Oryzias latipes: one gene and its partner. The protein of the gene in region 1 binds, or shares a complex with, the protein of each later gene. Links are inferred from orthologs where the notes say so. Each region holds a gene or a part of one and is shown on either strand. Other genes may lie near its edges. The genes, in order: dld and dbt.

Region 1 (4,399 bases):
CCTTCGTCCACAAGTGGCCAGGATAGGCTCCGGCATCCCCCTGACCCCAAAAGGGAAAAACTGAATAGAAAATGAATGAATGGATGAAAAGGAGTTTGTGAAAACTTACAGAAAGCATTTGACTGCTGTCATTGGCAACAAAGGGTATATAACAAAGCATTGAGTTGAACTTTTCTTATTGAAAAAATACTTCGGGACACTTCACAAATAGCTGTGGCAATCGACATTATCCAATCCTTTTCTAAAGCTTCTGGAGTTACTCTTAATTTAAACAAATGTGTAATTCTGCTTGTTAAAAACTATTTGTTAACTTCCATTCAAGGTTTTCCTGTGAAAACTTCTGTAACATGCCTTGGTATTCAAATGACTAAAGATATGCAATCCAGAACTTCTAAAGATTTCTCTCCTTTAACAGATAAAACCCAAAAAACCCTTAACTAATGGCTGCAAAAAGATCTATTTCTGAAGAGCAGAGTGATCAAATGGCTCTCTCGTTTGACCTATGCTCAATCTTTACAGGTTACTAAAGCAGTCTGTATTGGAATTAATAAAATATTTTACAACTTTTTATGGAGACACTCACTATCTCCGGAAATTGGCAGTAGTGTTTGATGCCGTACCGTCTGGACTTTGCGTGTTATTCAGGGGTTTCTGCAGCGCTCCTCGTTTGACTCTTCATCCTTCTGATGTGTTCAAATCTCCCCTGGGTATTTTCTGCTTCACCTCCACTAAAACAGTTGAACTCAAAATTCCGAGCTTTGTTCCAAGATCATCTGGTTTCTGTTCCATCAGTTACTTTTTATTGGGCTAATTTTATATCTAACATTGAAAGAAAAAAGTCTGGTCTTTACCTATAGTTAATATCTGCTTCAAAAGATTCAAAGGCTCAAAAAATATCTGTAAATCTTTTGGAGTAGTGACATAAGTTAAATCTCGCATTTCTTTCTTCTTCTTTCTTCTCTCTATTTTCCATTTTTTTTAATTTTAGTTATTTATTTCCTTCTATTTTCCTTGGTTATTATTTAAAAGCCGCTTGTTTAAAAAAATATTTTTACTTATAATTTTGTCTATGAAGACTCTCAAAAAATACTAAATCCAGATGACAGCCCCTACACCTACTACTACTACTTATAATTTTGTTCTTAATAGTTATGATTTTCAAAAGGCCAAAACAATGTTTTTTGTATTCAGAGCTGTGTTTTATTCATATATTGTATTGTTATAAATATTTTATATTTGTATTGTATCCTGCAAATGTTCAATAAAATAAAATAAAATAAAATAAAAAAATCCCCGAACCAACTGCTGACGCTCCGTACCAGTAGGGGGCAGTAATGGGCTTTTCTGTCGTTTTTCAACAGGGGACGGAGCACCAAGGCTGGGACTGCGCATGCGCTAACATCGGAGTCCTTGGCTGGTCGCAGTCCTGAAGAAGAGTCATCCTGTGAGGGGCATAGCCAAAATGCAGAGCGTGACCCAGCTTTATCGCTGTTTGGCTTCAGTAAGGAACTTTAATTTTTTTATAGTAGAAGCCGGCTTTTCTTATACAGATTTCATCTCGGCTGGGACTCTACATAACGCGTCTGTTGTGGTCTTATTCAACCAGCGGCCCATGGAAGCTAAGCTACAGCTAGCTGTTTTCTAACAGTTCCGCTGTGGTCATTTGTACCGACACGGATTCTGATAAAAACAATCAAAAATAAAAGCACACATTCTGATATTTTCTGGATACTGTTGGTGTATATAAGACTAAATACGGCTTCATGTTAAGCCTTTACTTGAAAATTCTAGGCGTCTTATGTCTGCATCTTATATACTAGGACCTGAAAAACCTTTATAAGGACGAAAACTTTGTTACATTTGTATATAAATATGTATATTTGAAAGGTCCTTCTAGACAAATCAAAGGCGACAAATATTCTAAGTGAAACTTCGTTGTTAATAATTAATAATGTTAATATTGAATAACAACCGCGCTGTCATTTTAATTTACATCTCTCGCGAGAGTTGAAAGTGTTGATCAAATCCCTACCCCTTATTCCCTAACTCGTTTTCCTTGATGTCCGCAGACATCCTCTATGGCCTCTTTAGTCCTCTCCCTTAGGTCAATATCTGGACAGGTTCACATGTCAGCACGTTTCTCAAACGTTTGTCCTTTCTTGTCGTGATGTAAACTATTCCAAAATCTCGTGCCTATTGTTTTATGCATCTAAACAGTGTGTGCACTCAAAGTGGCAATGCTGGTGAACATGACAATAGACCAAAAAAATAACCAAAAAGCTATGTAAAATTGATCAGCTGTTTGTGTTTCTATCTGTTGGGTATGGTGGCCCTTAAGTTCAAATCATTCAACAAATCACTTGATTCAAACACATGTCAAAGATCACAACGGCAAATAAAAAAAACTAAATACATGTTAAAAGCCAGCATTATATTTTAGAAAACAAAACAAAATGTAAAAAACAAAAATGAGAAAACAGTTCAGAGAACAAAATTAATTTCCAGAAAACAAAATGGAATGTTACAAAAAAATTGGGAAACAAGATGAAAAACGAAAACAATGAGAAACCAGAAAAGGGAGGGAGGGACAACCTGATGATGTTCAGTGTCCAAGCCAAATAACTACAGTTGAAATGTACAAACGTCCTCGTCCAATCAGCAATGTCCCTCAGTACCTACCTTTTCCGGTTTCTCATTGTTTTCGTTTTTCCAACATTTCATTTTGTTTTCCAAAATGTTTTTTCATTTTTTGTTTTTTCCTTTTTGGTTTCTGAAGTTGTTTTAAAATTATCATTTTTTTAATTGTCGTCGTAATTTTTTCAAATGTTTTTGTGTCGAGTGATTTGTTGATGTGATTTGCACTTCAGGGCCACCGTAGTTTGGTGTAACTCACCTGCATTGTGAGAACTGTCTTAGACTAGAGCTTTTGCTGTGGCACCAAGTTTGGGTGTTCAGCAGCTGTGTGCATGTGATCTACTGTGCAGAGGGGCCACCATCTTCCCTGCAAACTCCATGGAGCTGCCGTGTCTGTCAGAGCCTACAGCGACAAAGCCGCAAGTAAGAAACCACCTTCGTCTTTTTGTTTCATTAAGATGGTTGAAAATATTTTCTTTTTTGTCCAGGTTAAGTTCAATCTAAACTAAGAAGACTGTAGAAGTGAAGATTCAGGGAAGCACTCCTGCTGAAACCAGGGGCTTTCATAAGTAAATAGCAAAAACTATTCCCGGAATCGATGTGGAAATTGCAGACCGACAGCTCACTCAGTTGTCTTTTTTTTACAGCTTTGCAATTAAAGGGAAGTTTTTTTTCCCTCCAAAAGGTCTTTTACTTCACTTATTGTTGCATACTGTGCTACTATAGCCAGCACTTCGCTCCCTGTAGAAAAGTACTGCTCTCATGGTTGTTTGTAATGTAAGCAGCTGTGTTTCTCTCCTGCAGTTGATGCAGATGTCACAGTGGTGGGCTCAGGTCCAGGCGGTTATGTTGCTGCAATTAAAGCTGCACAACTTGGTTTCAAGGTAAGCCCACCTTCTTCAGTGTTCAAGTTCATCCCCAATGGGATTTAAATATTCTCTAATTAGGATTTGATGGCAGCAAAACTAAAGTGACGTCACAGTTTGTCAGACAAATGTAGATGTTTGCTTTTTCTTTCTGCAGACAGTCTGTGTTGAGAAAAATGCCACTCTGGGTGGGACGTGTCTTAACGTCGGCTGCATCCCCTCAAAGGTAACAACCAGATTCATTTAGACTGGATCAACATGGAACTGAATTTCTTAGAGGGGTTGTAACATCCCAGGAGCGTATTGTGTTACTGGATACCAAGTCTCATAGTATGACACAATGAGATATATATTCCAGAGACGCCGCGCTGCGAGGTACATATGCAAAGTTGGACGCCATATTGGAAAGGGCAAACTCTCAACTCTGCTGGGCTACAATCGCACAAACAGACTTGGAAAAACTAGAATGTGACTTTCACCAGGAAATTAAAGCTTTCAGCTAATAAAGGAGAACTTCTAGCAAACATTTTAGGAAGATCTGAGAAAGTCTACTCTCAGAATAGTGAACGTTCAGGCTGATCTTGTAGTGATGATGATGATGTCAACACGTAAACCTGTTGAAAGTTAATGGTAGCATTAGACTTGGCACTAAATCCACGTTTTCTGGCAGGACCATCTATCTGTTTTGTTGTTGTTTGGAGGATGACCTTAGTGTTTGTAAGTGTTTGACCTCTGACCCGCTGAATTGAAGCAGATTACTAGGCGGAGGAAATGAAACTAACCAGGATTCCCTCAGGCAAGAGCCTAGCGTTGAATCCCCGTCCAGGTGGCAGACAGGAGACATGTGGCGAACAGAAAACCGCCTGCCCGGTGTTGCGCAAGTTCCCAAGTCCCTCTGA
Region 2 (4,344 bases), on another chromosome or scaffold:
AATGAGAGTCAGGTGTACTAAGAACTGTGGAGATGGTTCCCCGCTGGTAACCAGAGGGGGAGACAAATCTCTGACTTCTGACACATTCATGTCAAGATCAATATTGAAATTTGAATATGATGTAATCGATTTCATAAAGTGAAAATCTCCTTGACATGAGCATTTTGCTGAGTTCTTAAGTTATTTTTTCCTCAGACACAGTTTGTGTTTGTCAACATACCTTACATGTTTCGGCGGAGTCACTTCCGCCTTCGTCAGAACCGATTTGTTCCGTCAAAACATTAAAGGTATGTTGACAAACACAAACCGTGTCTGAGGAAAAAATAACTTAAGAACTTAGTTAACTTTGTAGACACAATAAACTTTACTGAATTATGAGCGTTTTGCCATTACTATTATGTGTGAACTGTGTTCTGAAACGTTTTATGTTTTTTTTAATATATTTTTTTGTCAAAAATTGGTCCAACGCAATGCATTGTCGAAGTGTCCTTGGGCAAGACACTGAACCCCACCTTGCCTCTGGTGGTAGGCGGGCGCCTGTGTTTGGCAGCGGAGCTGCCACCAGTGTGTGAATGTGTGAGTGAATGTGTGTGTGACTGGGTGAATGGGTCTGTGACTGTAAAGCGCTTTGTCCTTGTAGGAAGAAAGGCGCTATATAAGTATACGCCATACGCTATTTACCATTGTGGTCTATATTTGCCAATCTAGTTAGCATCGATGCACACTGGTTTTTCGCAGAGACTTCTGGCAAATTTCTAGGGCACTAGGTTTTGGAATTGTAGATTCGGACAGCACTACAAAATGGCGAACGCACAATTTAGAGCACAATGTAGTGAGTAGTGAAGGAACTCAGACATAACCTTGGTGTTCATGTTTGGAAGCCATATTTTTTTTTTTTTTTACTGTGTTGGGGTGTGGGGCTTGTACTTTACTAATTCTGGTACTGGGGAGTTATAATAATTACCTCCCTTTTTGATTGTAATTTTGTTTGCCCTGCTTTGATTTGTGGTTAATCATGTATTTATGTAAGTGTTTTACATTTTCAAACATATTTTTATTATCTTTTTGGCTTCAATATTGTTTTGGTTAAGCTACTGCGTGTTGGCTGGCCAAAGAGAGGGAATTTATGGAATTTAGTAAACATCGTATTGGCGTTTTGATTCATTTCAGTGTGGCTCCTAACGCAAGAACTTTTCGTTGTGGTTCTTATCAGCGTTTCACTTTATGTTGTTCCCCCCTTAGCCATCGGGGGCGCTCCTACCCCATCCTGCCTAAAAATGGTGGAACGTGAGGAGAAGAAGAAAGGCTGCACGGTGATTGGCTGCTCGTAGGGGCGTGCACACGCAGCAAAGATGGCAGCGGTGACCCGGGGCTCCTATATTTTCGTCTCGCGTTTGGTGAGGAGAACTTCATTTCGGTGCGCGCGCTTGCTTCTTGCACCCCTTTAAACTGCGGTACCTGCAGGCTAATTGCTAACTGTCCGCGCGGGTCAGAATCTGAATTTGTCCAGGCTAATGGTCTGTTAAGGGCCAGTTTCGGCTATCAGGTGATTCTGACCCGGTCCAAGTCACAAGCCCGTGGTGCGTCATTATGCGAGGTAGCTTTAGAGCAGACCTTTTTTGTAAAACCAGGTGGAACCAGATCTTAATTCGTGTTTGGGTCTGCCAAAGGTGCACGGAGCATGCGCAGTAATCACCTGCGGAGCTCAGCTCAAGTAATACTTGCTTTATGCCAAGTTTGTGTTAAATCTCTAAAAGACAATAAAAGTCCTGGAATGAGGGATTGACACGTGCATTTTATAAAATCTTTATAGAAAAAACAACTCCTTTTTGAAGTAATTTTAAGAGGCTTCGGAAATCAGTATATTATCCCACACTCTTGATAAGGTGTCATAAAACTTGTCCCTAAACCAGTAAAAGATAGATCATTATGTATAGAGAACTGCAGACCAATAAGTCTGTTAAACAATGAATGATTCCAAAATATTTGCACTTATATTTGCTAAAAGATTGTAACCTGGTCACTGACGATAAAGCCCGGTAGGGGTGAGTTATACTGAGGATTTGGGCATCAATCCGGTACCAAATGATTACAGGGCTACTATCGCACATGTTGATACCAAAACTGATACTTTTTCTTGAAATGATGTATAGAATAATTTAGAAAATACATTTTTTTGTTAATTAAGTGTATAATTAAACACAATAAAGAGACTTCCGGCAAATAAAAATGTTCAATAACTAATTACAACAATCTGAACTGAACATACATGAAAAATAGAACATTTATATTAATGTCATATACAATAATAAGAATAAGAATAAGAAAACTAACTAGTTCAAAATAAAGGAAAACAGAATGTAACAAAACAACATCATAAACCTACATTAAAAAATAATGCTATTAATAAAATCGGACAAAACTCTGATTTTATCTGAAGGAAAATGACTCACTACTTTAGAAATAATATTTTGTGTAACATCAAAAAGCTTGGAGGAACTAACTTTTGAAACTTTAAATAACTCCTTTAAAGTAAAATGATTGAATAACCCTTTGAAAGGAGAAAATAATATTTGGAACACTTTTCCTAACTATATTTTCAACATGATGGGAGGACTCTGTGATTATAAAATTGAAAAATTACCAACTAAACTTTCTAATTTCTATAAACAAACTCTGCTTGCCTGGAAATTCATTTATAAACATAATTTTTCTCCAAAGGCCAGTTTTGTTTGGAATAACCAAGATTTTCAATATAAGTAAAATCCCCCTTTCCCCAGATGGTATTAGAACAATTTACTTTGGATGAGACGACTTTTCAATTCTTGTGAATATTTATTATCATGAAGAATTTCTTTTAAAATTTGGCTTCCCAGTTTCACCTAAATTATATACAACAGTATTTGATGCAACACCAACCAAACTATTAATAATCCATTCATCAGATTTACTATCTTTTTGGATGAGGTGGATATTTGTATTGGATCAGTTTCCAACAAATAAGAAATCTTTAACATCTGGAACCACACCTGCAAGTAGATTTTACCGAAACTCCAAAGTTATGGATATAAAGTGGAATAAATTCTGGCTCATTGGTAACAAATACAGTTAAATAACAAAATAAAAGAAATATCCTTTAAATCACTACATTGCATATATTCTGTTAAACATTTTTTTGGTATATTTATTCTGGATATGAACCAGTTGTGTACATTTTGTGGATCACGAGAGAAAAAAATTGTCATTTGTTTGTAAAATGTAGAAACACAAAAATGTTCTGGATCCATGTTGGCAACTCCGTTAGTCGCAAAACTGGAAAAACATTCAAGCTTTTAGAAAAGGACATCATTTTTGGACTGTTATTATGACATCCTGGACCTGCACTTTAATTTTTAAACACAACAGATTTTGTTTTGGGAGCAATTTCAAATTTATATAAGGAAATTGTTAAACTTCAAACTTAATTTTGAGCACTTTTTGCATGAATTAATGCAATATGGTAATATTGTCAAACGAATAAAAAAAAGGCAATTTTAAGAAATGTAATTTTTGCAAAGGTACCGTTTTTTTTTCCATATTGTTACTTATTTTTGATAATGTGATGGTTCTGTACCATGGCTGGATATCAGGTCTGTATGCATTGATACATATTTTTTCTCCCTCCCCCTTGGCATTCACACTTTTGTTGTACCTGTTGTTTATAAATAAAGTTTTCTGCTCTGTGCCCCCAGCTAAGTCGGCACCTCTGCCGTTGGACCGTTCGGCAGCAGACCCTCCGGTGTGGCAGAGCTTTACAGCCACTCACCGTTAAATGCAGCAGAGAGTCGCAGGTATTCTCTCTCCGTGGGCTACACGCTGCCTCAGGTGAGCCCAAGACCTGCAGCTGTCACCCGTCTATCATGTAGTAGATGGAGTTACCATGGCAACCCACAGCCTCCATGTTAAACCTTGATTAAGAAGTCACTGATGATGTCACTGTGCTCTTGTAGCATGTTGTGGGCCCGTCGTCCAGTTCAAACTCTCTGACATTGGAGAAGGCATCATGGAAGTGACAGTGAAGGAGTGGTATGTGAACAGCAGGCCGGCTGTGATTGGCCGAGTTTCGTCCTTCAGGAGGGTTTCAGACCTGAATGGTACTGGTTCTGTCGGACTGTTCTGACGCCGCCTTTTTTGCCCGCTGCAGGTACGTAAAGGAGGGGGACAAAGTATCCCAATTTGACAGCATCTGTGAGGTCCAAAGCGACAAAGCGTCGGTCACCATCACCAGCCGCTACGACGGCGTCATCAAGAAACTCTACTATGACGTGGACGCCACCGCGCTCGTCGGCAAACCTTTGGTGGACA

Evidence for each region.
Region 2: the proteins of dld (region 1) and dbt are in contact, whole or in part, in a crystal structure (PDB 3RNM), measured with the Homo sapiens proteins. The link is inferred for Oryzias latipes from reciprocal best matches to the Homo sapiens genes DLD and DBT. Residues at the interface, in NP_000099.2 of Homo sapiens: Ser446, Thr447, Asp448, Arg449, Glu472, Tyr473, Gly474, Ser476, Glu478, Asp479, Arg482; in NP_001909.4 of Homo sapiens: Thr174, Pro175, Ala176, Lys196, Arg199, Leu201, Lys202, Glu203, Leu206.

What each region holds. Positions count from the first base shown.
Region 1 is NC_019864.2:5,934,947-5,939,345, reverse strand, and holds the start of dld (dihydrolipoyl dehydrogenase, mitochondrial), read left to right. Parts: upstream 1-1,373; 5' UTR 1,374-1,462; coding exon 1,463-1,501; intron 1,502-2,984; coding exon 2,985-3,057; intron 3,058-3,438; coding exon 3,439-3,518; intron 3,519-3,657; coding exon 3,658-3,726; intron 3,727-4,399. UniProt on the Homo sapiens protein: Lipoamide dehydrogenase is a component of the glycine cleavage system as well as an E3 component of three alpha-ketoacid dehydrogenase complexes (pyruvate-, alpha-ketoglutarate-, and branched-chain amino acid-dehydrogenase complex).
Region 2 is NC_019862.2:5,905,126-5,909,469, reverse strand, and holds the start of dbt (lipoamide acyltransferase component of branched-chain alpha-keto acid dehydrogenase complex, mitochondrial), read left to right. Parts: upstream 1-1,266; 5' UTR 1,267-1,352; coding exon 1,353-1,397; intron 1,398-3,731; coding exon 3,732-3,864; intron 3,865-3,989; coding exon 3,990-4,065; intron 4,066-4,183; coding exon 4,184-4,344. UniProt on the Homo sapiens protein: The branched-chain alpha-keto dehydrogenase complex catalyzes the overall conversion of alpha-keto acids to acyl-CoA and CO(2).